Linked DNA regions of Oryctolagus cuniculus. The protein of the gene in region 5 interacts with the protein of the main gene of each other region in a pairwise test. Links are inferred from orthologs where the notes say so. Each region holds a gene or a part of one and is shown on either strand. Other genes may lie near its edges.

Evidence for each region.
Region 1: the proteins of TRIP10 (region 5) and WAS interact in a two-hybrid assay, tested with the Homo sapiens proteins (2 studies listed by BioGRID). The link is inferred for Oryctolagus cuniculus from reciprocal best matches to the Homo sapiens genes TRIP10 and WAS.
Region 2: the proteins of TRIP10 (region 5) and HTT interact in binary tests that used the Homo sapiens proteins (3 or more experiments, as listed by UniProt). The link is inferred for Oryctolagus cuniculus from reciprocal best matches to the Homo sapiens genes TRIP10 and HTT.
Region 3: the proteins of TRIP10 (region 5) and ABL2 interact in binary tests that used the Homo sapiens proteins (3 or more experiments, as listed by UniProt). The link is inferred for Oryctolagus cuniculus from reciprocal best matches to the Homo sapiens genes TRIP10 and ABL2.
Region 4: the proteins of TRIP10 (region 5) and ARHGAP12 interact in binary tests that used the Homo sapiens proteins (3 or more experiments, as listed by UniProt). The two-hybrid records come from large-scale screens. The link is inferred for Oryctolagus cuniculus from reciprocal best matches to the Homo sapiens genes TRIP10 and ARHGAP12.

What each region holds. Positions count from the first base shown.
Region 1 is NC_091453.1:33,877,880-33,882,836, reverse strand, and holds the end of WAS (actin nucleation-promoting factor WAS), read right to left. Parts: intron 4,784-4,957; coding exon 4,630-4,783; intron 4,446-4,629; coding exon 3,710-4,445; intron 2,104-3,709; coding exon 2,076-2,103; coding exon of another isoform or gene 2,048-2,075; 3' UTR 1,809-2,047; downstream 1-1,808. UniProt on the Homo sapiens protein: Effector protein for Rho-type GTPases that regulates actin filament reorganization via its interaction with the Arp2/3 complex. Important for efficient actin polymerization. Possible regulator of lymphocyte and platelet function.
Region 2 is NC_091433.1:1,727,402-1,734,031, reverse strand, and holds the start of HTT (huntingtin), read right to left. Parts: upstream 4,443-6,630; 5' UTR 4,293-4,442; coding exon 4,066-4,292; intron 3,503-4,065; exon of another isoform or gene 3,390-3,502; intron 1-3,389.
Region 3 is NC_091438.1:7,419,776-7,426,329, forward strand, and holds the start of ABL2 (tyrosine-protein kinase ABL2), read right to left. Parts: upstream 3,816-6,554; 5' UTR 3,582-3,815; coding exon 3,425-3,581; intron 1-3,424. UniProt on the Homo sapiens protein: Non-receptor tyrosine-protein kinase that plays an ABL1-overlapping role in key processes linked to cell growth and survival such as cytoskeleton remodeling in response to extracellular stimuli, cell motility and adhesion and receptor endocytosis.
Region 4 is NC_091444.1:102,257,017-102,261,934, forward strand, and holds part of ARHGAP12 (rho GTPase-activating protein 12), read right to left. Parts: intron 3,536-4,918; coding exon 3,437-3,535; intron 2,124-3,436; coding exon 2,046-2,123; intron 1,943-2,045; coding exon 1,808-1,942; intron 1,579-1,807; coding exon 1,476-1,578; intron 571-1,475; coding exon 396-570; 3' UTR 1-395. UniProt on the Homo sapiens protein: GTPase activator for the Rho-type GTPases by converting them to an inactive GDP-bound state.
Region 5 is NC_091447.1:60,904,732-60,910,641, reverse strand, and holds part of TRIP10 (cdc42-interacting protein 4), read right to left. Parts: intron 5,474-5,910; coding exon 5,358-5,473; intron 5,258-5,357; coding exon 5,201-5,257; intron 3,773-5,200; coding exon 3,625-3,772; intron 3,511-3,624; coding exon 3,448-3,510; intron 3,261-3,447; coding exon 3,156-3,260; intron 3,068-3,155; coding exon 2,939-3,067; intron 2,351-2,938; coding exon 2,204-2,350; intron 2,088-2,203; coding exon 1,893-2,087; intron 912-1,892; coding exon 744-911; intron 494-743; coding exon 384-493; intron 1-383. UniProt on the Homo sapiens protein: Required for translocation of GLUT4 to the plasma membrane in response to insulin signaling. Required to coordinate membrane tubulation with reorganization of the actin cytoskeleton during endocytosis.

The DNA.
Region 1 (4,957 bases), on a different chromosome or scaffold from region 5:
ATCTAGACTGCTTGTGCCAAGCACCTGCCCCTCACAGTCAACTCTTGTACCCAGCACTTACAGCAGTTCAGAGGTTGTGGGATGGAAGATCTCTTCCAGAACAAAGTCCCAACACACTGATTTTCCAGGGTTTCTGTGGAGGACTGGGAGGGGGAAATAAGTGACACTGACAGACCCTCCTCCCTAGACCAAGTGTCCATCTGCCTGCCTGGGGTGGGGTGGGGAAGTGGAGACAGGGGTGAAGAAATGAAAAAATTAGAGGAAACCAGAGACTGCCTCCTTCTCTAGCTCAGGGCAAATGTCCCTGTCCTCAGGGAATTCTTAAGGGGCAAAGCTAGCTCCCCTGCCCTCCATCTCCTCCCTCCCTCACAGCTCCCACCACCTCCCTCATTCTCTCCCTCCTCAACACCCCACTGCCACCCGTGCTTCCATGGCTCAGAAATTCTTCCACTGGTCTTGCGGATGAGAGAGGCTTCCCCTCTCTGGGTTCCCCTTCCCCTTCCTCCCCTATTCCCTCCTCTTCCTCCTGTAAAGGAAAATATTTGAGATCTTGAACCCCCTAGATTTCAGAAATAGGAAGGCATAGGGGCCTCAAGTCTAGGCTGTGATATGCCAGAGCTTTGAATTACTCCCTTGGAAATAGCTGTAAGCACCAGACAGACAGAGCTCCTATCCCCTGGTGTACTCCCCAGATGCTAGCAACTGCCAGGCTAGCCCAGGCAGAAGCCAAGAGCCAGAACCTCCACCCAGGTCTTCCACATGGGTGACAGGGACCCAAGCACTTGAGCCATTGCCACTGCCTCTGGAGGTTCTGCATTAGCAGGAAGCTGGAGTCGGGAAGGGAGCTGGACATGGAACCCAGATGTGGGATGTGGGATGCAGGTGTCGTAACCACTAGGCCAGATGCCCCAAGGACAGTTTTGAGGTACGCCTTTTTTGGGGGGAGGGAGGGAGAAAGTCCTGGAGGAGAAGGAGGAGGATGAGGAGGGGTGGGAATCATTTATCTAGATGGTATGATCACCATTTAGAGATGAGGAAACGGGCTCAGCGCCTGAGGCAGCTTGCTCATGTTCTGGAGCAGATCTGTGTGATCTTCTGTTGCAATTGGCTAGTGGTTTGCACCAGGAACTGGACAGAACTGAATTTTACAATTGAGAGGAGCATCCTGCCCAGCAGGTTCTTGCTGTATGAGTTGTGCACACAGAGAGTAGGGAGATTTGGTCATCAAGTGTGTTCTTGATCTAGTATTGTGCTCACTGAAAGCTTTTTTTTTTTTTAAATAATTAAGCACATGATCACCACACCTGGCCTCACACCAAGTTTGTCTCATCTCAGGGCCTTTGCACTGGCTATCCCAAAAGTTTAGACTGCTTTTTCTCCCAAATATTCTAATGGCCCATCCTCTGTTTTGTTAGGTTCAATACAACTGTCACCTCCTCCAAGTGTCACCTTCCCATTACCATCTGAATGGTGCACCACAGCACTCATCATGGTCTGTAACTCTGCTTGATTTCTATTTGGTTCTTTCTTTCTTGTCTGTTGCCCTAGGAGAGTGATTCCAACCCTATGAGGGCAGCAATTTATTTTTCTGTACTTCTTCCTCATTCCTTCATCCCTAGCCCCTGAAGTAGTGCCTGGAAATAAATATGGAAAGAAATACAGGCAAAATGGCTGAGGACGTAAAAGAACAAATCAATGAATATATCCATGTGAGGCTAAATAAATAAAATGAGATAGATCCACTAAAGGGACTTTGGGGAGAAAGGACCCCTAATTCCCACACTGGAAATGCAATCAAACACATTAGGGAAGACAAAAAGACAATGACTTTATTTTTTACTTAAAAATCCTTGAGTGAAGAGGACTGAGAATTTTTATATATATATAAAAAGGCCCTTGGTATTGGGAGGGTGATTGTGGGGACCAGGCAGGGAGAACAGCAGTCAAGGTAGGGTTCAGGGAAGAAATGGGATTTGGGGGTCTGGGGTGCAGAGTCGGGGCCGGGAGGCAGGGGCAGTAGAGAGCAGAGTAGGGAGTGGGCAGTGACTCAGTCGTCCCACTCGTCGTCTTCATCCTCATCGCCGGCCTGGTCCTCTCCTTCGTCTGAAAGGAGACAAGGATTCAGAGGGAGTTCAGCTTGGGGGGAAAATTCAAAGGCCCTGGAGAGCTGAGGGGGTATTCCTAAGGTCAAGTTAGGGTTTCTGGTTGGGACAAGATAGGCGTTATAGTCGGGAAGTCTGTTCTAGTTGGAGCTGAAATTAATATGGTATTGTTCAAAATATGGTTAGTCTGAGGCCTGGCATTTTAGTTTTGGGGTCTTCTGTTTGTCTGCTTACTACACTTGACCTTAGCCAAAAGGCCAAGAAGTGATTTTTTTTTTTAAGATGTATTTATTTATTTGAAAGGCAGAGAGAGAGCGAGCGAGCGAGCGAGAGCGAACTTCCATCTGCTGGTTCACTCTCCAGATGGCTGCAATGGCCAAAGCCAGGAGCCTGAGACTCCATCTAGGTCTCACACACAGGTGGCAGGGGCCCCAGCACTTGGGCCATCTTCCGTTCCTTTTCCAGGCCATTAATGGGGAGCTGGATCGGCAGTGGAGCAGCTGGGATACAAACCAGAATGATATAGGCTGCTAGTATCACAGGCAGCATATTTATCCATTACCCCACAACTCCGGCCACAGCTGCTCCACTTCTGATCCAGTGCCTGGGAAAGCAGCAGAAGATGGCCCAAGTGCTTGAGCCCCTGCCTCCCACCTGGGAGACCCCAGTGGACTTCCAGGCTCCTGGCTTTGGCCTGGCCCAGTCCCACCTATTGCAGCCATCTGGGGAGTGAACCAGTTGATGGAAGATTCTCTCTCTCTCACTCCCTCCCTCCCTGTAACTCCTTCTCTGTAATTCTGCCTTTCCAATAAAATTTTGAAAAATAACGCTTTAAGAAACATTTCCAAAAAACACGGTTAGTCGGGATATTGTCACACAACAGGTTAATGTTAACCCATTTGTCACTTAAAGGGGCAAGTGTAAATGCTGTTAGTGAAAGTGGGGTAATTTATTTTTGCTTAATGGTGGGTTAATGTTAATCTTTTTAACCCATAATGGAGTTTAATGATAATATTGCCAAATGATGAGGCTGGTTATAATGCTGTCATATAATGGAATCGCGTTAATCTTGTGGACACACTTTGGGGTTAATGTTATTGTCAAAGTTGGAGTTAATTGTATTATTGTCCGGTAATAGGTTAAAATTACTATTATCTTCATATAATGTGTGAAGGATAGTATTGTTGCCACAATAGGAGGTTAATATTAGCATTATTGTAGAAAGATGGAGTTAGCTACTATTATCATGGGTTCATATAAACTGTTGGTACAGGAAGTTAGTGTTAGTGTCGAAGATGGTGCTCTTTAAAATAGGATTGTCACATACTGATGTTAATAGGGCTGAATACAGGACAGCATTAATGCCATGGGCACACCCCTAATGATAATAATAGTTAATATTACATTAATACTATTGTCAAAGGTAAGAGTTATATTATGGTCATATACTGTCTAAATGTTACCACTAAGGAGACTGATCTAAGATTCTTCAATACTGTTACCCACAGACGTATATAATGTTTCTGTTGATGGGGACCGCCTGGGATGTTTGCAGGCCAAGGCTAGCCCTGGCAACCAGGTTCAGGGCCTGGGCCTGACAGGCTCACCGGAAGAGTGGATGGCCCTGCTTCTTTTCTGCATCACGTGCATCAGGGCGCCCACCAGCCCCTCGGAGGTCTGCGGTGGCGGCTGCAGGGCTGAGCTCTCTGGGGCCCCGGGAGTCTGCAGCAAGGAGAGTTTCAGTACTTCTTCCGCCCCTTCTTTGTAATTTTTCCTCCCACACGTCAATCCCTTTCAAGGCTCCCCACCCACCTCCCAAGCTTAGCACTAAACCCCAAGGCCTGGCACCCCCATCAGTCTCAGCCTCCGCCTCCCTGTATGCTGACTTGCACCTGACACCCCGGAGTCCCAGACCCCAGTCCTCCCTTCTGCTGGTCCTCACCTTGTTCAGCTGAATTCCCTGCCGGATTTGATCCAAAAGCGCCCCCCGACCCCCTCCAGAGGCCATGCAACCCCCAGACAGCGGAGCAAGTGGGGGCGGGGGAGGCACTGGCCCATCCCCGGAGCTGGGGGGTGGCGGTGGGGGAGGGGGCGGGGGAGGTGGAATGGCTGGTCCCCCAGCTCCAGGGGGCGGAGGGGGCGGTGGTCCAGAGCGGCCAGTGGCTGGAGGGGGTGGTGGTGGAGGGCCCCCTCGGCCTGGGGGTGGGGGTCCTCGGGGCGTGGGTGGGGGCGGAGCGCCCCCTAAAGGTACAGGGGGTAGTGGACCAGAACGGCCCTTGTTACCCCCCGCCAGAGGTGGTCTGGGGGGCTGGTTCCCTCCTCGAGATGGCGGTGGGGGCGGCTCTGTAGGGGGAAAAATAACACACAGCTGCTATTATTGTCGTTTTCTTGCAAGCTTCAGTTCTGTTCATTTGTAAAATGGGTCCCTCCGCCTGACCAATTCCCCACTCAAGCAGAACAGGGGGTTCTGCAAGGACTGGGTGGCTTCAGGGCTGGAGAAGAAGCGGGTGTAGAGAAGGGGCCTCACCTTGACGCCTCATCTCCTGCCGCACAGCCTCCAGCCCGCCCTGGTCCTCAATGAAGTCGTAGATGAGTTTGGAGGTCTCTGCATCAGTGAGTTGAGCCTCACTGATTCCTGCCCTGGAGAACAGGCTCCGCAGATCCGGGTCCAGGTTGTTCACCTGCCCCGGAAAAGGACCCAGGCAGGGGCGAAGGAATAAGGTGAGGAGGGAGAGGATAGGAATTGTCATTGGGTCCATCCTGGCCAGGGATGTGGGAAGCATGGGGTTTGGATATGGGCTCTGAGCAGTGATCTAGGAAAAGGTGGGTGGAAGTTGAGTGGGTACCAGGGGACT
Region 2 (6,630 bases), on a different chromosome or scaffold from region 5:
CACATTTTAAAATTACCAAAGAACTAACTCCAAAAATGGGAACTCAGACCCCTCATCTAAATTCTCACTTTCAGAGTCAGGTGACGATTACGCGGGGCCGGCACTGTGGCACAGTTGGGTGAAGTCGCCACCTGTGAGCCAACATCCCACTTGGGTGCCGGTTCAAGTCCCCGCGGCTCCATTTCCAATCCAGCTCCCCATTCGTGGCCTTGGAAAAGCAGCAGTAGACGGCCCACGTGCTTGGGCCTGTGCGCCTGTGCGGGAGACCTGGAAGAAGCTCCTGGCTTCAGCCTGGCTCCACCCTGGTGATTGCAGCCAACTGGAGAATCGACCAGCAGATGGAAGATCTCTCTCTCTCTCTCTCTGAGTGTGTCTGTCTCTCCCTCTATCTCTTGACCTTCAAATAAATAAACAAATCTTTTAAAAAGGATTATGCATAAAAATATGATTCCAGGTTGGACTCCCGAGAAATCTGAAACACCCACTCCTCGGCCTCTCCCCACGGTGGGCCTCACGGGCACCCTCACACCTGAGCGCGGGTGCAGCGAGGCCCAGGGCTGCGCGGCCTGCAGAGGGAGGACTGTGAGGGGCCGGGCAGGGCCTCAGGGTCCTCTGCAGCAGCTCTAGGACTCCGACCAGGCTCTATGCTGTGTGAGAGTGTCCCAGACAATTAGGACTTTTCAGGAAGATTTTTAAAATAAAGATGGGGATACCAGCTCAGTCAGAACTATTCTGTGCATACACACATTAATACTTCGGCTATCAGAATCCGTGTCATTTAAGCACAATATCCTGCAATGCTCACAACAGCAAATGATGTGGAGGTCACACAGAATGCTGCGCACTGAAATTCTTCAGCAGATGTAAGGAACCACCTAACCCAGGGAGGACACTGAAATATCAGTTATGTTGTACTAATTTTTTTTTACTAAAATGTCTTTAGACAGATGGAAGCATAAAAATAAGTAGAACAGTCAGAGTTATACAGAGAAAGAAGAAGAGGCAGAGAGAGAGAGGTTTTCTATCTGCTGGGTCACTCCCCAATTGGTTGCAACAGCCACAGCTGTGCTGACCCGAAGCCAGGAGCCAGGAGCTTCTTCCCGGTCTCCCACACGGGTGCAGGGGACAAGGACTTGGGCCATCCTCGCTGCTTTCCCAGGTGCATGAGCAGAGAGCTGGATCAGAAGTGGAGCAGCTGGGACTTGAACCAGCACCCACATGTGATACTGGCACCACAGGCAGCGGCTTTACCTGCTCAGCCACAGCGTCAGCCCCTGCTCTGCTTTTCAAATAAATAAATAAATAAACCTTTAAAAAAATGAGTCCTAAAATATTACCATATTTTTTTCTTTTTTTTTTATTTTTTATTTTTTGACAGGCAGAGTGGACAGTGAGAGAGAGAGACAGAGAGAAAGGTCTTCCTTTGCCGTTGGTTCACCCTCCAATGGCCGCCGCGGCCGGCGCACCGCGCTGATCCTGGCAGGAGCCAGGAGCCAGGTGCTTTTCCTGGTCTCCCATGGGGTGCAGGGCCCAAGCACCTGGGCCATCCTCCACTGCACTCCCTGGCCACAGCAGAGAGCTGGCCTGGAAGAGGGGCAACCGGGACAGAATCCGGCGCCCCGACCGGGACTAGAACCCGGTGTGCCGGCGCCGCTAGGCGGAAGATTAGCCTAGTGAGCCGCGGCGCCGGCCAAAATATTACCATATTTTAATATAGGAAGGGTAAACTGCTACCTGTTTTTGGCCAGCCTACAAGCTAACAAATGTTTTTACTTTTTTAAATGTAAGTTTACAACACCTCCCTAAAATCAAATAATAATATTTCATGCTATGTGAAAATTACATGAAATTCAGATGTCACTGTTATCTGTAAACCTGACTGGACACAGCCAGTTCATCAGGTACTATCTGTGGCCGTTGCCTGCTACGGTGGCACACTGGAGGAACTGCAACAGTTTGCCCACAGAGCCTGAAATATTACATTCAATCACTGACATAAAAGTCTATTCATCACAAAACAATGGAAAGATAAATCTTGCTCATGGATCAGAAGAATCAATATCATTAAAATGTCTATACTGGCTGGATGACAGTGGGTAAAGCCACCACCTGCAGTGCCAGTATCCCACATGAGCACTAGTTCAAGACCCGGCTGCTCCATTTCTGGTCCAGCTCTCTGCTATGGCCTGGGAAAGCAGCAGAGGATGGCCCAAGTCCTTGGGCCCTGCACCCATGTGGGAGACCTGGAAGAAGCTCCTGGCTTCAGCCTGGCCCAGCTCCAGCCTTCTGGACATTTGGGGAGTGAACCAGCATACGGAAGTTCTCTGTCTCTGCCTTTCAAAAAAGTTTTTACAGATCATCTATCTTGTATGGGTTTACTAGTATCCAGAATATATAAAGAACTTTTGTAATTCAGCAATAAAAATATGTAAATACTAAAAAATGGCGACAAGAGTTAAGAAAAAGCCTAGCTCCCCAACCTCCCCACTGACCTCCTCAGAGAAAGAGACAGAGCCTCTCATCCACTGGTTACCCCCAAGTGCATAAGGGCCGAAGGCAGGCAGGAGGAACTCAAAAGGAGTGAAGCTGCAGTCTCCTGCCCAGAACCCGGGCCCTTGGGCGATCGCACGGCTTCCCGGGACCTCGCCTAGCAGGAAGTGCACTCTGACACAGGAGGCAGAGCCTCCACCCAACTCATTTTTTCTTACAATAAACGTATTAACTTAGGCCACTGCAGCGGGATACAACCCTAAGTGGTAACACCAACCAGAGCTAAACTCATTACGGCAAGCAGAGATCAACAATGCTGCTGGGTCTCGCCCAGGCGCACTGCCAGCCAGAACCACGCGGGCCCAGCTGGCGTGCAGACTTCCAGCCAGGTCCTTTTCCCGCCCGTGTGCCCCTTCACGTGCATGTCAACAAAGTTCATTTCCCAGCGGGGCTTGGTCGCGCCAGGCCTCGGCTCTAACACCCCAGCGGCTTCCCTGCGAGAAGGCGGATCCCCCGATGGCCCTCCCTCGCCCTCTGACCTTCCCTCCCGCCCGGAACGCCCCGCTCCGCGGCCTCGCGCCGGGCCCTGCTCGCTCTGCAGGCCTCACCTCAGAGGCCAGCGCGGCCCCCGGCCACCCCAGGCAAACGTCAACGCCTTCCAGCCCGACAGTCGCCGTCCCTCCCTGCACTTCCGGCTGCCAGAGCGCACACCGACCTCGGCGTCCGGCTTCCCTACGTCGGCCCCACGCGAGAGCCCGGGGGAGCGGAGCTCCGTCCCGGCTGGGCCCGCGCCTGCACGGTGCCGGCCAAGCACACAGGAAAGACTTCCTGACGGCGAATAAGCCGGAGAGGAGCAGGGCAGAGCCGCGGAGCGAGTGCCGGGGAGTACCTGTTTTTACCTTTACAACGAACGGGATTCCCGAGCTTGATTCTCAAACGAGCCCGCACTGCTCCCCGGAGCCCGCTTCCCGTACTGAACGCTCAGGACAAGGCCAGCGCAGCAGACACGGAGACCGGGAGAGGGGCTGCAGGGCGGCCCGCCCGACACACGGGCGCCCCGGGGCGCGCCTGCCGTCCACACCGCCCGTCGGGAAAGCCCGCACTCCCCAGCCTGCTCGGGGACTTGCTTTCCTGTTTCTGCCTCAGAACCCCCTCCCCAGGCCCAGCAGGGTAAGGGGCTGGCAGCAGCGAAGCCCCCGGGCGCCCCTGCGGCGGGCACCCCGCGCCCCGGCCGGCGCCGCGGGAGCGCGCGTCTCGCGCATCGCACCGCGCCGTGTCCAGCACCGCGCTGGCCGCGGGGTCCCGCGCGCGGGCCAACGCGGGGTCGCAGACAGGCCTGTCGCTCAGGCCGCGCTCGGAACGCGGCGCCCACGCGAGCCCGCGGGGCCGCGGCCGCAGTCGCCGAGGCTCCCCCGCCCGCGCGGCCCCGCCGGCCCAGCAGCATGACGTCACCCGCGCCCGCACGGCCTCCCGCGCCGGGCCCGGCACCTCCCCTCCCGCCGGCCCGTGGCCGCACCGTGCTCCCGACCCTCCGCCCCGAGCGGCCGGCGCCCCCGCCGCTGCCCCCGGACTCACGGTCGGTGCGGCGGCTCCTCGGCCATCGCCGGGCCGGGAGGCGGCGGCGGGGACGGCAGCGGGGGCGGCTGCTGCGCGGGCGGCGGCGGCGGCGGCGGCTGCGCGGGCGGCGGCGGCGGCGGCTGAGACGGCTGAGGCGCCGGCGGCGCTGGCGGCGGCTGCTGCTGCTGCTGCTGGAAAGACTTGAGGGACTCGAAGGCCTTCATCAGCTTTTCCAGGGTCGCCATGGCGGCCTCTCACCCCGCAGGGCAGCCCCCAGCGGCCTCGGGCCGGCTCGCGGCGACGCGGCGCCCCTCAGCAGCGAGGCAATGAATGAGGTTCGCGGCCGGGGGCAGAAGCGGAACCAGCGCGCCCGGCCATCTTGGGCCCGTCCCGGCAGCCCCCGCGGCGCCCCGCGTCCAGCGACGCTGCGTCGGCGGAGGCAGGACCACGCCGAAGCGGCGGGATTGACAGCCCGAGGCGGCCGTCTCTGCCTATGGCCGGCCGAGGCGCCGGCCCGTACCTCCCCCACTCCGCCCTCGGCAGCTTCGCTCCTCAGAGCCTGCGCTGCAGTTAGAACCCAGCGCTACCTCAGGGCGAAGACGGCGAGGGGGCGGGGCGAGGGCGGGACGAGGGCGGGACGAGGAGCGGCTGCGGGGCGGGCCCAGAGGGGCGGGGAGAGGGCGGGGCGAAGAGTGACTGAGGGGCGGGCCCAGAGGGGCGGGGAGAGGGCGGGGCGAGGAGTGACTGCGGGGCGGGCCCAGAGGGGGCGGGGGAAAGGGCGGGGCGAGGAGTGACAGAGGGGCGGGGCAAGGGCGGGGCGAAAAGTGACTGAGGGGGCGGGGAGAGGGCGGGGCGAGGAGCGGCTCTAAGGGGCGGGGCGAAGGGTGGCTTAGGGAACGGGGAAGGGGCAGGCGAGGGGGCGGGGCGGAGAGCGGTGGGGCGGGTCCAGAGGGGGCGGGGCGAGGAGCGTCTCTAGGGGGCGGGCCGAAGGGTGGCTATAGGGGACCGGGAAGGGGCAGACGAGGGGGCGGGGCGGAGAGCGGTGGGGCGGGCCCAGAGGGGGCGGGGAAATGGGCGGGGCGAGGAGTGACTCTGAGGGGCGGGGAAATGGGCGGGGCGAAAGGTGGCTATGGGGAACGGGGAAGGAACAGGCAAGGGGGCGGGGCAAGGAGCGTCTAGGAGGGCGGAGAGCGGGCCCAGAGGGGACGAGGAGAGGAGCGGCTCTAGGGGGCGGGGCGAAGGGTGGCTTAGGGAACGGGAAGGGGCAGGCGAGAGGGCGGGGCGGAGAGCGGTGGGGCGGGTCCAGAGGGGGCGGGGCGAGGAGCGGCTCTAGGGGGCGGGGCGAAGGGTGGCTTAGGGAACGGGGAAGGGGCAGGCGAGGGGGCGGGGCGGAGAGCGGTGGGGCGGGTCCAGAGGGGGCGGGGCGAGGAACCAATCTGAGGGGCGGGCCCTGAAGGGGCGGGGAGTGGGCGGGGCGAAGGGTGGCTATAGAGGAGGGGAAGGGGCAGGCTTGGGGGCGGGGCTAGCGGGAACGAACCATGGGGGCTGGAACAGGTGCAGGGCTGGTGTCGGCGAACCGCGACCGGGAAGACCCCACGAGGGAAGAGCCCCTCCCCGACGTAGAGCTGCAGACGCCGGCAGGTCGGGGCTGAGCCTACTGGGGTCTCCCTGCGAAGGGGAGCGGCCCCAGGGGGCGCAGACGCTCAGCAAAGGCGTGGGGCGCCCCCTCATGCCCGGGGGCGTTCAGGCTGTCGCCGAGGGGTCCGGGGCACCCCGTGAGCGAGCAGAGGGAGGTGGGCGCGTACAGGGCCGCAGGTGCAGCCGGCCCAGCGCCGAGGGAGCCTGGCGGCCAGGAGGGGGCTCCTCCCCGCTCAGGCCGGTGAGCGCTGTCATCCACGCGTGTTGTGCCTTTGTGTTGTGCAGTGACGTGTGGTGCACACGTGTTGAGTTCGCTGGCCTGGGGGGGTGGGCCTTAAACCGCGGCCATGGATCCTCACTGCCCAGGCCCGGGGCCGCCCTCTGGTCTGTGTGCCCACTGCTTCCTGTGCAGACGCTAGTCACAGGGGATCGGGACCCCCTGGGGACCTCCCACCCCCCGAGGCTGCGTGCGAACAGCCGCCCAGCTCTGTTGGGCAGCTTGCCCAGTATGAGCGCCCCTCCTGGAAGTCCCCTGAAAGGGGAGGGGTTCGCCCGCCCGCTGCCTGGGACGGCGCAGCCGGTAGGACCGGGAGCCCAGGTGCCCCGGCTGCCTGCCTCTGCCCGGAACGCACTGTGGGGTCCTGCCAGGAAGCCTCGGGAAACGCACTAGCGCGTGGGCCCTGCCGGGAAGCCCCGAGCTCCCGTCAGGCGCCTGGCCTGGAAACCCAGCTCCACTCCTGGCATATTCCAAACAGAGTAATTAAAGATTAATACCGCGGGGCCGGCGCCGCGGCTCACTAGGCTAATCCTCCGCCTGCGGCCCCGAAACACCGGGTTCTAGTCCCGGTCGGGGCACCGGATTCTGTCCCAGTTGCCCCTCTTCCAGGCCAGCTCTCTGCTGTGGCCCGGGAGTGCAGTGGAGGATGGCCCAGGTGCTTGGGCCCT
Region 3 (6,554 bases), on a different chromosome or scaffold from region 5:
AAATCCAGGCAGAAAGGTGCCAGAGTTCATGCCTTTTTTAAAGAAAAAAAAAAAAATTTATTTACTTATTTATTTGAAAGCCAGAGTCACAAAGAGAGAGAAGTCTTCCATCCTCTAGTTCACTCCCCAAGTGGTCCTAACAGCCAGGGTTGAGCCAGGCCAAAGCTAGGAGTTACATCCAGGTCTCCCATGCAGGTGGCAGGGGCCCAAGCACTTGGGCCATCTTCCTCTGCTTTCAGGGAGCTGGGTAGCAAGTGGAGCAGCTGGGACTTGAACAGGCACCCATATGGGACTCCAGCATCCCGAGCAGTGGCTTTTATTCATCAAGCCAGCCTCAGAGCTCATGCCTTTAACAAGCACTCCAATGTGCTCTCTCTCCTTTCATAGTCTACACTGATCACAAAGTCCTCTAAGTTCCATCCTGGCAAGCACTCTATTATATTCACCGCACCACTTCCATGGCCCAATACTTAAGTAGGTGCTCAAAAAAACCTTTTGTTTGTTGAACACATGAAATGGCCCTGACCCCTCCTCTTCCATTTCTCGCCTCAGTCTTACATTTCACACTTGGGTTTACTGATACATCCTATCAACTAGCCAATCAGGCAAACCAACACAAACCTCTTTGCCAGATTTTCCATAACCCAGTCCATCCAACCTGTTTTTTTCTGTTGTTTCTCAATTAAAATCATAAAATCTTAAAGACAAAGAATCTCAGAGATCATGTTGCCTCACCTCATTGTACAGATAAAGAAATCCAAAAGTGATGACTAAACGCACCAGTCAGCTAGAGCCAGCATAGAACCTGACTTGCGATTCTGCTGGAGGTCAAAGTTCACTCCTGACAGACGTCTCCTCACTGTCCCACCAACAAATCAAGCCCATCCCCACCGTTCCCACTCAGACTGCCTTTTCCTGCTCCCTTGGTCCAAATTCCATCCATCCTTCGAACATGTCTTTGCTATCCTATTCTTCGCGACTTCTTCCTCCTCCGACAATCTTCTGTCCTGAATATTAGAGGAAGGTGATCACCACGGCCCAGTGGCCCACTTTTAACGCACAGGAACACTTCCCACAAAGCAAAGCTACTTGGACGATTTCTTCCCTGGAAACTTTTTTAAAAAACGTATTCAAGAGGCAAATAGGCAGGCAAAGAGATACAAACACCGTCCATTGGCGTGTTCACTTTCTAAATGCCTGCCAACAGCCAGGCTGAAGGCAGAGGCCAGGCTCTCAGTCCAGGCCTCCCAAACACTTGAGCCATCATGTGCTGGCCCCAGGGCCTGCACCAGCAGGAGCTGCAATCAGGAGCCGGAGCCTGGAATCAAGCCCAAGCCTTAAGTCACTGGGCACCAGCATCGTGACTGCTGGACCAAATGCCCATCCTCTTGAGAACTACTCCTCTTTTCTTTCCTCCCATGGTTTAGGAAGTAATTTCAATAAAAAACAACAGTGGAGGATGGCCCAAGTGCTTGGGCCCTGCACCCGCATGGGTGACCGGGAGAAGCACCTGGCTCCTGGCTTCGGATCAGTGCGGTGTGCCGGCTGCAGCACGCCGGCCGCGGCGGCCATTGGAGGGTGAACCAACGGAAGGAAGACCTTTCTCTCTGTCTCTCTCTCTCTCACTGTCCACTCTGCCTGTCAAACAACAACCACCACCACCACCACCAACTCCTATGGCACCTGCATCAAATATTAAACATCGCTTTATATGTCTGCTACTAAAGATGTGCTTGAGGTTTCTTCAAGGTATGTGAATTGAAGCGTGCATAGACCCAAGTTACAGACATCTCCTCCATGAAGAAACACTCACTCTGTGGGGTAAGTGTTTGGGGCAGAAGTTGAGACACCACCTGAGACACACTAGAGTGTCTGGGTTCGAGTTCTGGCTCCACTTCCGATTCCAGCTTCCTTCAACTGTGCACCTTGGGGGACAGCAGATGATGGCTCAAGCACTGGGGTCCCTGCCTCCCACCTGGGAAACCCAGAGTCCATTTCGGGCTCTGGGCTCCGGCATGGCCCCAGCCCCAGCTGCTGCAGTCATTTGGACAGTGAGGAGCAGATGGAAGACTTCTGTCTCTTTCTGCCTTTCAAATACATTAAAAATTTAAAAACTCAGTGTAACCACAAAGTCCAAACTCAGACCTCTGACACAACTCAGCTATTAGTCACGGACCCTCGGATTCATCCTTCTGTGCATGCTACCATCAGCCATGACACTCTCCCAACGCCACTGCTAGCAAAGGATCCACACTTCACTTTCGCCCTCCACTTCCCTCGACTGTGTGACACAGAAACCCGTCTCTTCTACCCTTTACCGTCTTCTACATCCGTCTTCCGTCACTGTCCAGTTTGCCCCTCTCGGCCACTTTCAACCGGCCAGTCCCTCCACCAGCCACACCTCCATCTTCAGCCCTTCGTGGATATGGGGGGGACCTCAATCCCAGGCAAGTCAATGTTGATTTTATTCCCTCTAGCAAAGAGGTTTCAGAAGTGACACGAGTATGTCTCTGAGGAAGTGTACAGGATCCACTGGGCCGGGGCGAGGCGGGGGTGGGGGGGTGGGAGGGGTCAGGAGCCTTATGATATTCTCAGCCTATCATTTCCTAAATTCTATTTCTGCATACGTTTAAGAATTACAGCACATATTAGCACGGTACACGAACATAACGGCCTAAAATACACAAATCAGAATATACGCTCAACATTTTTACTGAGTGCGTAACAAAGGGGTTTGAAGACAAACTATTCTCAAGATAAATAGACGCGACCCAAGGGATAGGTGCCAGGCCACATATCTGCAAGCACTATACGTACATAGGCATACACACACACACACACACACACACAGGCTACAAAGGAAAACTTGCCCATACCCAGAAGGAAGTCCTAGCCATGCCCACCAACTTACAGCCCTTGCCAGCCATCTCAGAACCGTGTCCTCCAAGGAACAGAGCAGGGTGGTGGGGCAGACACACATGCACACACACACACACAGTCAGGGGCTCGCACCCTCACCTTCCTACAAAGACGGGCATTCCAGGGCACCGTGCAGCCCGCCACCCTGACACCGCTCCCCGCCAGTCTCCCGAGGTGCACGCCCGAGCTCCCCAGCCACACTGGGGCTGCCTCCGCTGACAACCGGCCTCCACCCCCCCACCGCCCGGACGCAGCCCCTCGCTCCCCTCATCCCTGCCTCCCCCGGACGACGCACGGCCCCGAGCCGGGGGACAGGCCAGTCCACCCGAGCTCCGAGTGACCGCCCCCAGGAGCTGCCAGCCAGGCTGGAGACGGGCGGGGGGAGGGGTGTGCTCGCCGCCCGTGACGGGCCCAGATGGCAGCCGATTCCGCCCCCACCCGCCGGCACCCCTCCGCCCCGCGCCCCCCGGCCGCCCGCCCCCGCCCCGCGCCCCGCCACACTCACCATGCTGGGTGAAGATATTGAAGCCGCTCTCCGCGGTGCGCCCCGCCGGGTCCCGCCTGCGGCCGGAGGGCCTGGCCGCGCTGCTGCCCCGGATCCCGCGGGGCTGAGGCTGCGGGAGCCCCGGAGCCTCCCCGACGCGGCCCACCTGCTGCCCCATCCCTGCGCTCGCGTACTCCCGCGCCCCCGCCAACCCCCCGGTCACATTCCTCCTCGGCTCCCGGCGCTGCTCCGGCCTCTCCTTCCCGGCCCAGGCCCTGGCCCTGAGCGGCCGGGGCCGCCGGCGGCTCGGCCCCCGGACTCCTCACCGCGGCCGCCGCGCTGCTCCCCGGCGACTCACAGACTCCGCTGCTCCCTCCCCCTCCCGCCGCTCCGCGCCCCCAACGCCGCCGCCGCCGCCGCCATCTTTAAACCACCGAGCGCCGGGCGAGCGTGGGGCAGAGCGTCTCCCGCCCCCCGCCCCCCGCCTGCCAGTCACCTCCGCTCCCCCGGAGGGCGGGGCCTCCGGAAGCTCCGCCCCGCTCCCCGCCGGGCCGGCCCCCCGCGCCCACCTCGCGCGCGCGCGTCCACGGCCGCCTCGGGTCCCGAGTCCGCGTCCGCGGTCGCCGGCCTGCTCCACACGCGCTACCGCCGCCCTCAGCGTCGGTGCAGCTCGGGCCTTGCCCGCGGCGCCGGCACCTGTCAGCTCCGTCAGCGAGGGCGGAGTGCCCGCCGCGGGCGCCGCCGAGGCGGAGAAACACGAGGGTCGTGAAAGGCCCGGGGGGATCCGCTTACACGTAGCCGTGGCCTGCAGACAGAATGGCACGAAGTTCACCTGAAGGGACAGTGGTGTGCCCGGGCTGTGTGCCCCACGCCGCCCAGAATCCCCTCGGAGCCCCCCGGCCGTCCCAGCACGCGTGTTTCTGTGTCCCGAGGGTTGACCCTAACGCGAAACCGCCCACTGGCGAGCTGCGTGCTCGAGGCACGGGGCCCCAGCCCAGGTCCTCTTTGGCGGAGACAGGGAGAAGAAATACGAATGTTCGGTCCCGTTTCTGAGTCAGAACTCCTCGTCTTTAGCTCCTGTTGTCTGAACAGAGGGGATGAGTCAGGAGAAGGGTGTTTTTTACTCCCACAGCTCCCTCACCATCCTCTCCCACGCTGTGTATCTGAATATCGATCCACTTGTTCTGACTTCTCAAAGAACTAGGCTGTTATTCTCCTCCTTTCCTTCGGCTTCCCTGTTGGCTTTATTAAAAGGTGTCGGTTATTAGCGGCATCACACTTACATTTGGTTTTAAAATGTGTAATGGGAACCATTGCAAAATAAATAAATAAAAACAGCCCCCAAGAACAGAGGTGGGGGGAAGCAAAGACAGGTGTAGTTCATGACCCACTCACTTTTTTTTTTTTTTTTTGGACAGGCAGAGTGGACAGTGAGAAAGGTCTATCCTTTTGCCATTGGTTCACCCTGATCCAATGGCAGGAGCCAGGTGCTTCTCCTGGTCTCCCATGGGGTGCAGGGCCCAAGCACCTGGGCCCATCCTCCACTGCACTCCCTGGCCACAGCAGAGGGCTGGCCTGGAAGAGGGGCAACCGGGACAGAATCCGGTGCCCCGACCGGGACTAGAACCCGGGGTGCCGGCACCGCTAGGTGGAGGATTAGCCTAGTGAGCCGCAGCGCCGGCCAACCCACTCACTTTCATACAACCTTCATCAACCACCCGCTGACACAGATCCTTCAGGAGGGCTATGAAATAGTCCACTGTTACCTGGGATGTGGCCAGGAATAACTGAAATTACTCCCACCCCCAAAATAGGTACAGAAACTTTAAGCTTTAGCACAGTACAGAATATGAACTTTCTGTTTGGATCCAAGTTTTCCTGTGTTTAATTATTTTCTGGGGCCGCTGCTGTGGCACAGTGGGTAAAGCCGCCGCCTGCAGTGCCGGCATCCCTTATGGGCGCCAGTTAGGTCCTGGCTGCTCCACTTCTGATCCAGCTCTTTGCTATGGTCTGGGAAAGCAGTGGAGGATGGCCCAAGTACTTGGGTCTCTGCACGCATGTGGGAGACCTGGAAGAAGCTCTGGCTCCTGGCTTCGGATGGGCACAGCTCCAGCTGTTGCAGCTAATTGGGGAGTGAACCAGTGGATGGAAGACCTCTTTCTCTCTCTGTCTCTCCTTCCCTCTCTGTGTAACTCTGACTTCCAAATAAATAAATCTTTTAAAAAAATACTTATTTTCTTGTAATTTCCAAAGTTTTTGCAGTTATTGAAAAAAAGTCTGTACACAAGGGATAAAGATTATAGAGCCAGAATTTGCCTTACTGCTTGATATTTTTATCGGAGAATTTCGATTTGGGAGTAATAATTGCTTTCTCTGCTAACTCATACATGGTGGACAGTAGTAGATGAGTAGGGGCAGGGACTGCGAAGCTAAACTGCTTACATCCGAAACTTGGCTCTGACACATCATAGTTGTTTGATCTTGGGCAAACTACTCCACTTGTTTGTGCCTCAGTTCCTCATCTATAAAATGAAGATGATGACAAATTATACCTATCTTACAAGGGTTGTTGTGCAATTTAAGTATGTGAACATGTAGGTTACTAAAAGCAGTATTTGACACTAGTAGTATAAGCGTATACTACTAGTACAAAAAAAGTAATGTCCTCGGAGCCCATCTGCTTTTACAAGTCTAACTTCTTCAAGGAGTCTACACTTAAACCATGGATCAAATTCTCTACCTGACATCCAGCCTATAACTAAAAACACCAACCAAGCAATAATAAAATGAATCACCTACCACTTTATTAGTCACTCCTGTCTGGTTATCACCGGCTGCCTGCATGTGAGCTGTTGTGCAATACCTCTGTTTTGAACATGAAGGGATTCTTAAGAGCCTATGGAAGCTAAAGCAAATGTCCTGTAAGTGAATGCTTAGGATATAGGCATCATCTTGTGACTATTTTTCACTCTTCCATTTGCAGAGTGAAATGGGAAGGGGGTAGGAGGCGGAGAACAGACGAGAGAGACTGAGTTAATGAGTTATGGGAAACTCACTGCCATACAACCAAGCCTAAATGACTTGCTGAGAATTACTTCAGGTTCATTACCTTTAGCTGTGGTTGTGACCCCTATGACCCCATCTCAGCATT
Region 4 (4,918 bases), on a different chromosome or scaffold from region 5:
CTACAGATCATGAGAAGAAACTCTACATTATCCAGTTTGAGGGGTGGGGGAAATGTAGTTTTCTTATCAAATTATCCAGTGTATATGACTGGTTAGAACTGTTAAGTTTTGATTTCTTTCTGTCTCTCTTTTTTTTTTTTCTTTTACTGAATTCCAAGTATGAAATGCAGACATTCAGGATAAATGAATTCAATATTACACAGTTACACCTCCTTGTGACAAAGCAGCAAATATGAGGGCCTAATAGGCATCGTGACGCTCCCCTTCCCTTCTGATCCCTCAAAAAAGTGCAAAATCAAAGAGTCACTGCTTGGTCCAAAACGAAAGCACACTGTGGACAGAGACGTGAAATCGATGGAGCCCCGCGTCGCTCCGCAGGTCGTCCTCGTGAAGATTCAACGTCCGAAGATGGAGCTTACTTCCAGCAGAATTAATTCCACAATCTGATTCTGGTACACAGTATGAACCGCTATGTTGCCAGTCTCCTTCTCTGGTTTTAGCAGGGTGGGACCAAAGACAATTGCTATACTCTGGTAGGTCATTCGGTTTTTTTCTCCATTTTCTATAACTCTGGGAGAGGGGGGAAGAGGTTGTTAAAAGATGGTGGGGAAAACTTTTTCACACTGCATCATGAACCTAACCGTCTGCATTGAGAAAAGAGAATAGCGCTCATTCTCCCAAGACACATAAAGTCCTGAACCAAGGAGAACCCAGTCTGAATGCCGTGTGAAGCCTTTTTTTGAAAAAACTCAGATGAAAGGATAATTACACAAGAGGCCTTCAAAAGTTCGCAAGAAATGCAATTTGAAAAAACCTGAAATCCACGCACAGCTCTTTTCACAGTACGCATTTCCTGGTGAACTCCCGAAGACCCGTTGGACACACTCTAACAAATTTTAAAAGTGTGAGATTTCTGGCTCCCTCTGTAAACAGGACACAGACTCAAAGTATTAGCTACGATTCAGGTGGCAGTGGTCACTCCCCCAGGTGGATGGTTGGGGGGGGGGGGGATTTCACCAGGACACAGAAATTGAACTTTGAATTATACTGATTTTATATTATTTTTGCAAAACAACAAAAATTTCCCTATTGGGATTATTTTAGATTCTAAAGTTCTTTTTATAAGATGAAAACATTCAGTTACTCACATGTCCAGAGTAACCCAGAGCCACGGTGGCTTTACTTGAAGGTAATTTAATGTCTCACACTTAAGGCTCAATCTCATCTTTGCACGAGTAGCAACAATGTGGCAGGCCCTATATAAATGCTCCACACACAGGGTCTAGTGCATGTTTCACCCTACATCATTTCACCCCCGAGGAACTGATACTAAAGGAAGTCGGGGGAGCATCCTCTTTCACAGTCACAAAGACAGCAGGTAGCATGGCCGGATCCCATCCTGGGTCTGAGTGACTGGGACCGCCCAGGGTTCCCACTGCACTACGCCGTATCTCAGACTGCCCTTCCCCTCTTACCTTTTGAGATGTCTAAAAAGAATCTGCATTGTATCTTGATTTGGCTTTGGTAACTGTCTGATTAGATCCTTAACAGCAGCGACTCGCTGTCTTGGTTCCTGCTCTGGAAAATAAATAACAAGTAGGTATTCGGCAGCTAGTACTTAGGAAACTGAAAGCAATGACCGTTTGGAAAAGGGTATTTGGTAATACACAGTGCCATCTGGTGGTCACATTTAAAATATCTGGAGTAAAACCATCTTTATAATGAGAGATCAAACAACACGACGGTATCATCTACAGGAAGGATTTTCAGTATGTAGAGAGAAAAAACAATGCATTTACATACTTACTAATTGCATTAACGAAATCATTAAAATGATTAAATGTAAAAAGCGGTTCTGGTAATTCTCGAAAAAACATTTTGAGTGCTCCGGTGACGACATGAATATCTTCCCATTTGCTGTCGTTCAAGTCCAACTTCTCATCTGGGAAACAGAAGGAATCGGAAATTTTTAAAAATGGCCTCGAGCCAGTTCTGAAGGTGGTGAGTGCAGCTCTTGGCTGTGACAGCAGGGAGGATAATCTTACCGTGGTTGACTGCAAATCTCAGTTTCTGGATCACAGCAAGGTTGCCGCTCACTCTGTAGATCCCGTCGACATCCAGACCTAGGTGGAGGCACAACGTTTCAGGTTTAGGGATTGCTCTGCCGCCTCTGCAGCTGCCTGTCTGGGCATTCTCACTCGTTAGCATTCGTCTAAAACCAAATGCACAAATATTCTTCTCCGAACGGCTTTTTATACATGCTTGGCAAGGGGAGCGGGCTAGAAATTCACTCTGAATTCTGTTTAATAAACTCTGCTTTGTTTATCAGGCTCAAGGCAAACATAACATTTAAAACTTAAGAAACACAACAATTTCAGATAAACTTCTGAAACACCTGGGACAGTTCAACACGTAAAGGAAGCCAGTACACAACACTGGCCTGCTATTTTTTTGCGCACTACTTTATAACATAAATGTACACAGTGAAGAACTCTCTTAAAAGTATTTGTCATATTAAGTGCTTGCAATAACTGTAATACAAGCAGATCAAAAGAAACACGCTCATTTGATAATTTATCTTATATATGAAACAGAATCATTAGAAATTTACATAATTAAGCCTTAAATTTGTAGGTATGCATGAAATGACAGTGCTGTATACATTTAACAAAGCACATTAGCTGATGTGCTGTTCCGTTTAACTTCAGACAAAGGCAAGCAAGCAGTGTGGTGTCGACGACTGTCACGTCGACAAGAGGAGCCAGGGGCACAAGAGACCTGGAACTGGCAGAAATTACAAATCCTATCACATGTTTTAATTGCATGAAATGCTTCTGATGACACACAGATCTAGGATGGTGTGATTACAGCTAACATACTGTTAATTTATTAAAAAAAAAAAAACTATTATATATTATAAATGTTAAAATTAACCAAAACAGAAATTAGCTTGTCACGCTTTGTAGGAAATGATATCAACATTCTGTATTGACTGAACAGTCCTCAAGAATCCTTTTATTAACAATGACTGTACGTATTAATGGGCTGCAGCCTGACATTCCAATATATACACACAGCGTCATCTCACTTCCGCAGTCTCCTCAGATCTCTGCACTATCACTTCCTAACAAACGCAGTTTCACAATCACCGTGTTCTTCATTTTAATCAAAGGCCAACTCCAAATGGCTTCAGAGTACCACACACTTAATTAATCACTAGGACTAAAGCATTCAATAGATACCTGCAGAGGTCTTATTTGCGACAGGTCTAAATAAATAAGGTGGTGTTTTGTTTTGTTTTTCCCCCAAACAAAATGCTTTTCTGGACATTTCAGGACTGTAAGGAACTGCTGGTTGCCTCCCCTGGATTTGACGGTTAGACAATAGGTTGGCTGTTTAATGTAAAAGAACAAGAAAACCAAAACCGGTCTCTTACCATGTTCTTCCACGTGGTCAATGCACAGCCTCACAAACGCAGGCACTGTGCTGTTCTCCCTCTGACACAAATTAGCAAGGTTGGCTCCAAATACCTGATCTGAAAGACATTTATTTTCAAAAATGAATTGCTTTACTAAAATTGAGTTTAGGAAATGGCTAGGCCTTACTCCATCTGCCCTCGGCCTACTTTTTCAATTTCGCTTCAGAAAACTCTTCACTGAGCCGGAGAGCCTTTGTATTCTCAACTCCTTTGGAGAGAGCCAATTTCCCCTCTCAGCTAAAATGTCAGCCCCTCAGAAAAATCTACTGGCCACTGTTATCTAAGACCACCCCTTCCGCACGCTCTCTGATACCTGGTCAGCACGATTCAGCCTGTCTGCTCTCCTATCACCTGAGTAGAAGTCTCACGAGGACAGGGACCAACAGCTACTCACATCACCCAGGCTCACCCCAGCATTTAGCAAATACTCAACTATGCTACAAACTATCAGGACACGCACATGCGTGTCCTTCCTGGGCGATCATCTGACGTCACCAGACCTCCCTCAGCAGCTGCCCTTTCACTCTTTCAGCCCCACCGTTCCGATGTTCCACGTAGTGCTAAATATTCAGGAAGGCCGACACACAGAGTATTTGTCGTGAGTGACACTGCACAGTGAGAACAGTTTACATTTCTCAATGAAGAGGTCTAAGGAACAAATGAGCAGCCGTTTCTATTCATTCGTTTGTCAAACGTCTTTTTATAGAGGCCTAAACTTGCCATGCAAATTCAGATTCTTTATTTGGGAATACCCATTTATCCATAAACTATTTTTTTAAATCCATAAACCATTTTTAAAGATTCATTAATTTATTTGAAAGGCAGAGTTATAGAGAGAGAAGGAGACACAGAGAGTGATCTACCCTCTGTTGGTTCACTCCCCAGGTTACCCCAATAGCCAGGGCTGAGCCAGGAGCTCCATCCAGGACTTACATGTGGTAGCAGGGGCCCAAGCACTTGGGTCATCTTCTGCTGCTTTTCCCAGGCCATTAGCAGGGAGCTGGATTGGAAGTGGAGCAGCCGGGACTCGAATCAGCGCCCACATGAGATGCTGGCGTCTGGCTGCTATGCCTCTATACCACAATGCTGGCCCCTACCTTTAACTCTTAAGGCTGCTGATTTAATGCACTTAAACTCTGTTGAAAAGTCTTTTTTTTTTAAAGATGTATTTTTTATTTATTTGAAAGGCAGAGTTAGAGAGAGAGGAGAGACAGAGAGAGAGCTCTTCCATACACTAGTTCATACCCCAGATGGCAGCAACGGCCAGGGTTGGGCCAGGCAGAAGCCAGGAGCCAGGAGCTTCTTCTGGGTCTCCCATGTGGGTGAGGGGCCCAAGCACTTGAGCCATCCTCCACTGCTTTCCCAGGAGCATCAGCAGGGAGCTGGATCAGAAGTAGAACAGCCAGGACTCCAACTGGCACTCATATAGGATGCTGGCGT
Region 5 (5,910 bases):
ATTCGCCCAGCTAGGATTTGGGGTCTAAGACCCACTAAGTCCCCACTGCTCGGCTTCCAGCCCAGCTCCCTGCTAATGCACCTAGGAAGGCAGCAGAGGACGGCCCAGGTCCCTGAGCCCCTGCAGGCACGTGGGAGACCCGGATGGAGCTCCTGGCTTCAGCCTGGTCCAGCCCCGATCATAGCAGCCATTCGGGGAGTGACCCAACAGATGGGAGATTCTCTCTCTCTCTCTCCTCTCCCTCTCTCTGTAACTCTGCCTTTCAAATAAATGCATACAGAACGGGAAGGAACTCTGGTCCCAGTGCGGGGGAGGTGTCTGAAGACCCCCTAAGCAGCGCCATTGGCTGCTGGGCTTTGCTCCCAGCCGGCCTCCCACCCTACCTCTGGTCCACCTCCTTCTGTAGCTCACGGCTGCGTTCTTCTAGCTGCTGTTGGAGCCGCTTTCTCTGCTGCTCTGGGGGCAGGTGGCTGAAATCCTCAGTCACCACGGTCTGCGGAGGGTGGGGGAGGGGGGAGAGGACGATGGCTGGGACCCTGGACTCTCAGCGTCCAGGCCGCTCTGCACACTCTTCAGAGTCCACTCCCCCCGCCCCGGCTGAGGTTCTGCGGGGGGCGGGGCACGGCCATGCACGGAGCCAAGCAGGAAAGGGGGGCCCAGCCGGCCGCAGGAAGCGAGCCCAGGGTCCCCCCACCCGGCCGCCGGGCAGGCTGGGACGGCCTCCCCCACGAGGCCTCACTTACCGCACGGCCACCTCGGAGGCTGCGGAGGGACGCTAGCCGCGGTTTGACCGACTTACTGATCTCGCTCAATAGGGCCAGGGGGTCGAGGCCGGAGCGGGGGGATGGGGGCCCGTTAGGCAATGCCGGGGGCAGGGAACCCCCCAGTGGGGAGAGGGGAGGGGAACGCAGCTACCGGCGGGGGCCGGGGGGAGAGGTGGGTCCCGGGACATGGGAGGAGGTAGAAGAGGATGGAAAGAGGCCAGAAAGAAAAAATGGAGAAAGATAAAAAAAAAAAGAAGAAAAAACACGGTAAGGAAAACACAACTTAAGATGTATGATCACACACAGAAAATGCGTGCAAGAGTGAACACAGAAATGCCAGGGGTGGTGGGGAGGGTGTGAGGCTGTGAGCCCAAAGGCCAGACCCTGCCCCCCCCCTCTCCTGGAAGGAGGCCCCCTGGGGCTGCAGCTGGTCTCCACCAGGCTTTCTGGGCTCACAGTCTAGAGGGCGGGAGCAACATGCAGGCGGCCAATGAGGTCTCAGACACAGAAGCCAGAGGGCGGGCGAGCTGAGAGAGGGCTCCAAGGTGGAAGCATCATGGGGGGTGGAGGGGGGCGGGCAGCCAGAGGCCCGCAGGTGTCCGTGGAGTGGGGGTGGTCTCCAAGGAGAAATCAAAAGCAGTATCGGATGAAGGGACCCCAGGTCGGCCGAGAGGGAGCATTGTCAAAGGCACGGACTAGGAGTGTCCAGGTGTATGCCCAACACCGAAAGCCAAAACACCCAAGGGGGAAAAAGAGCATCGGACGTGGTGGCCCAGGGAGCCACCAGGACATTGGAGGAAACCCCGGGGGGCTTCTAGGAGGTGGTGTCTCAAGCCCTCGGGCCAGCCCTGAACTCCACAAGCAGGTCTTCTCCTCCCATTCTGAGAACAGCAGGCAGACGCCACAGGCTGCCCCTGCTACACACACACACACACACACACACACACACACTGGTCCCCCCAGCCTCCGGGGACTCCCAGGCTGATGGGCCCGCCCGCTCGCCTTCCTTCCCTCCAGCCCGGGCCAGCAGCCAAGAGGAAAATTCCTGCCCGGGACTCGGCGTTCAGGCAGCTGGGGCTGAGTCAGTGGGGGCCCCCCTTGTCCCCACTCACGGGCCCCGGCCCCCACCTTGCTCTTCTTGCCGAAGGGCCAGCGCTTGGCCCGGCTGCGGCCAGGGCCGCGGAGCTCCGGCCGCCCGTCCGCGGGGGTGCCCAGGCTGCTGTCCGAGGGCGCGCGGTTCATGGGCTGGCTGAAGTCTTCAAATTCTACATCGCCAGGGCGGGCAAAGCCAGACTTGTGCAGCTCTATGAGGACCTGTGAGTCCTGGGGGAAGGGACGGGGGGGGGGGGGGAGGCAGTCAGGGGAGGGGCTGGAGGACGCGCCTCTTCTCCTCCCCTGTGCCCGGCTCTCGGCCCATGGGACCCAGATGAGGCACCCACATTCTTGGCGTCCACGGCTTCGGCAGCCACCTTCATGCCTTCCAAGCACTTGGCAATGATGGGTACCACCTGCAGCTCAGCCTCAGACAGGAGCCCGTACCCGGCGCCCAGGCGGGAGGCGCGGCGTTCATCCATGTCCTGCAGCTTCTGGAAGGGGCAGAGGTGGCCTGGGTGACTCACTCAGCAAACACGGGGATGCTCCTCGCGCTGGCCCCAGCCCCAAGCCCGGTCTGGTGGAAAAGACCCAGATGCAACCAGATTCCCACCCGATGCAGTTCAGGGAGAGACACAAGGCCGGTGGGGGCACAGGGTGGGGAGGGGGGGCATCTCAGAGGATGCCCCTTGCCTAGGGAGCCGGGAAAGCCTCCCCACTCCAGCCAGGCAAGGAGTGGCAGTGGGAAACGGAGCAGAGCTAGACCCAGCAAAGACCCTCCCAGGGCCAGGAGTAGCCTTCGAGAAGACAGGGTTAAACTCGAGCCTTCTCGGAGGGATCGGAAGAGCTGGGGCTTCGAAAGGATGAGCAGGAGTTCCCAAAGGACAGAGAAACATCTGTGGCACACAGGAGTCACTGGAGCAGAAAGCACACCGGTCCTTCCTGCATGTCTGGCTCCCTTGCAATCCCGGAGTTGGGGAACCGGGCAGCTGGGGTTTTGACGTATGAGTAAGAGTTGGGTTTTTTGTTGTTTTGTTCGTTTTTTTTTTTTTAAGGAAGGCGTGGGAGCCTGGGGCACTCACGTCGAATATCTGGGGCATCTGTGAGAAATAGAAGTGGGCCTGGTCGCGGTTGAACCGCTGCAGCTGGGCCGCGTACTCGTTCTTGCTCTCCTCGGCCATGTGACTGCGCAGGTGCGCTTGCTGCTTGGCCTGAAGGGCGGGGCGGGCAGGCGTCAGGGGCCTCCGCCCCATCCAGATGCCCGGAGTCCGGGGCCGGGCTCCGCGCATGCGCACGCACCTTCTCCACGTCCGCCTTGGTAGCGTTGATGTCTTGGTCCAGGCGCTCCGCGGTCTGAGCCGCCTTCTCCGCCTCGCGGCAGTCTCGCTCGAATTTGCGCTTGCTCTGCACAAGGGACGGAAGCGGAGTGAAGGAGCTGCCTGTCCCCAAGATGGGGGTCACTGAGCACAGTGGGGGACACGCCTGGGGCGGGGGGCGGGGGGCGGGGGGGACAGGCAGTCGCGGCCAGGCAGGGAGGGCAGCTCGGGCCACTGCCTCCGGAGCCGCGGCCCCCGCCAGCCGGCACACTCACATTCTCCAGCTGCTTGAAGCCGGTTTCCAGCTGCTGCTGGGCCCGCCGGCCCTCCTGGAAGTGCTAGGGGGAGAGGAGCCGCGAGAGACTTTTACCAGGGTCCTCCCGAAGCCCCACCCCGGCCCCCCGGCCCCCCGGCCCCCGGCCCCGGCCAGACCCAGGGCGCGGAGCCCTCACCATCTTCCTCTCCTGCCTCATCTCCTGCGAGTACTTGGCCAGTTCGAGACACACGCGCAACCCGAGGTTCTCGGCCACCAGCTCCCGCTGGCCCGCAAAGTCATTCACCTCCTGCAGAATCTGCACAAAGGACTGTTGCTGGCTGAACCTGGGAGACGTGGGGGAGGCGGGGACAGGGAGTCAGAGCCCCACCCCCGGACTCCCCACCACCACCTCCAGGTGGGATAAAGCCCCCAAGACACCCATCCCGAAGCAGTGGCAAGTTCTGGTCCACATCCCTCACGCGCTACCGGGGAGTGAGGTGCACTGCGGAACTGGGAGATTTTCGAGTCTTCGAAAGGAGAGGCACAGGTTTTGGAACTTGTGTGCATTGCCCCAGTGGGGCTGGGGCTGCACCCTGACTAATCGCCCTTTGTGGAGGTATTAATGGTGACAGCATCAGAATCCCCCGGGGTAGAGGGGAGGGCAATGCCTCCAGGACCCCGGGAGGATCCAAAATCCTCACTAGCAACAGGCTAAGGCGCTCCCTGGGCCGCTGGCATTCCACATCAGAGTGCATGAGCTCAAATCCCAGGTCCACTTCTGATTCCAGCTTCCTGGGAATGCGCACCCTGGGAGACAGCAGTGATGGCCCTGCCGGCCACGTGGGAGACCCAGCCTGGCTGTCCCCGGCAGATGGAAGAGATCTCTCTCTCTAGCCCCTCCCCCCAAAGTCCTGGCTGTTGTAGACATGTGCAGTATAAACCCAGCAGATAGAGATCTCGTGCTTGCTTTCCTGTAAATAATCAATGTATTTTTTTTTTTTTGGACAGGCAGAGTTAGAAAGTGAGAGAGAGAGACAGAGAGAAAGGTCTTCCTACTGTTGGTTCACCCCCTCAAGTGGCCACTACGGCTGGCGCTGCACCGATCCAAAGCCAGGAGCCAGGTGCTTCCTCCTGGTCTCCCATGCATTCTAAAAAGTAAGCTGCATAGTGTTCTCGGCTACCTCGCCCCCTCCTGTACACCTTAAATCACCTGTAGCTGACATAGCCTCCTAGACAAGGTGAGTGCTACACTGTATCATTTAGGGACTAGCAGCACAGGGGTGGGACTGCGCATGTTCAGTGCACAGGTGATTTTGAAAATTCAAGTATTTTGAGACACAGTGCCCAGGGAAGGCTGCATTTACACCCAGCGAGATAAAGCCACCATAATCTCGCCTCACCTACGTTGGAGGTGGCTAGCAGCTCACCAAACACACTGCTGATGCCCAGAACTTTTTGGATTTTGCAGTGAGGAACTCAGAATAAAGTCAAGCGCTCCCGGGACAGTTAGGACAGGCAGGGGACCGCGGTCCTGAGTCCTGGGCAAACTCCCCTCAGCCTCACCTGAGCAGAACAGGACAAGTGGCTCCGTTCCCACGCCCACTTCTCAGATGAGGAAAACTGAGGCCCCAAAGCCGCAGGCCCAAGGTCACTCACTCTACAAGTGCTCGGGCCTCCCCGTGTAACAGGTAGGAAAGACAGAAGCCGAGCCAGGGAACCCCGCGCGGCCCCCCCACCGGCAGCCTAGCCCCGTGCCCCGGCCCCAGCCTCACTTGGATTCGGGGTCATCCTTGGGAAGCCTCTTGGGCAGGTACTTTTTCACCAGGTTCCTAAGGGGAGACAGAGGCGGGATGACTGAGCGCCCTGAGCCGCGGCCGCCCCCTACCCGGCCCGGCCGGGCCACGGGGTCTCCAGCCCTCCGGGTCTCACCGCAGCTGCTTGGCGTACGCCTGCTCCACCTCGGCGCGCTCCTTGACGAACTTTACGTATCGGTCCAGCAAGTCCAGCCCCCACTGCGTGTGGCGTTCCAGGACCTCGAACTGATCCTGGCGGGGGGGAGGGGACGGCAGGGCCCGGGTCGCGACCTAGGGACTTCGCGGCGCGCCCGGCTCCAGGGCCCCCGCGCTCGGCGGAGGAGGGGCTTCCAGGCACCGCCCCGGAGTGGCGCGGGGGCCGGCAGGAAACTGGCGGGAACCCCCTCCCCTTCCCGGGAAAGGGCCCCAGCCGGACGACGGGGTCTCCGTCTCCGAGCGGCCGAGAGGGGCGTGGAGCGGGGCGAGGCCACTCCCCTGCACAACCGTCCACCCCCCCGCCCCGCGCGCGCCCGGCTCCCCTAATCCCCCCCAGATTCCGGAAAATCCGGCCTGCCCGGCGTGAGTCAGGGCAGGGATCCCTGGCCGCTAGCTGGGGGCCCGCAGGGCCCGGGGGCAGGCCCCGAGCGCCCCCCGCCGCACCCCACGCGCGCCTCCATCTCCCCACGGGC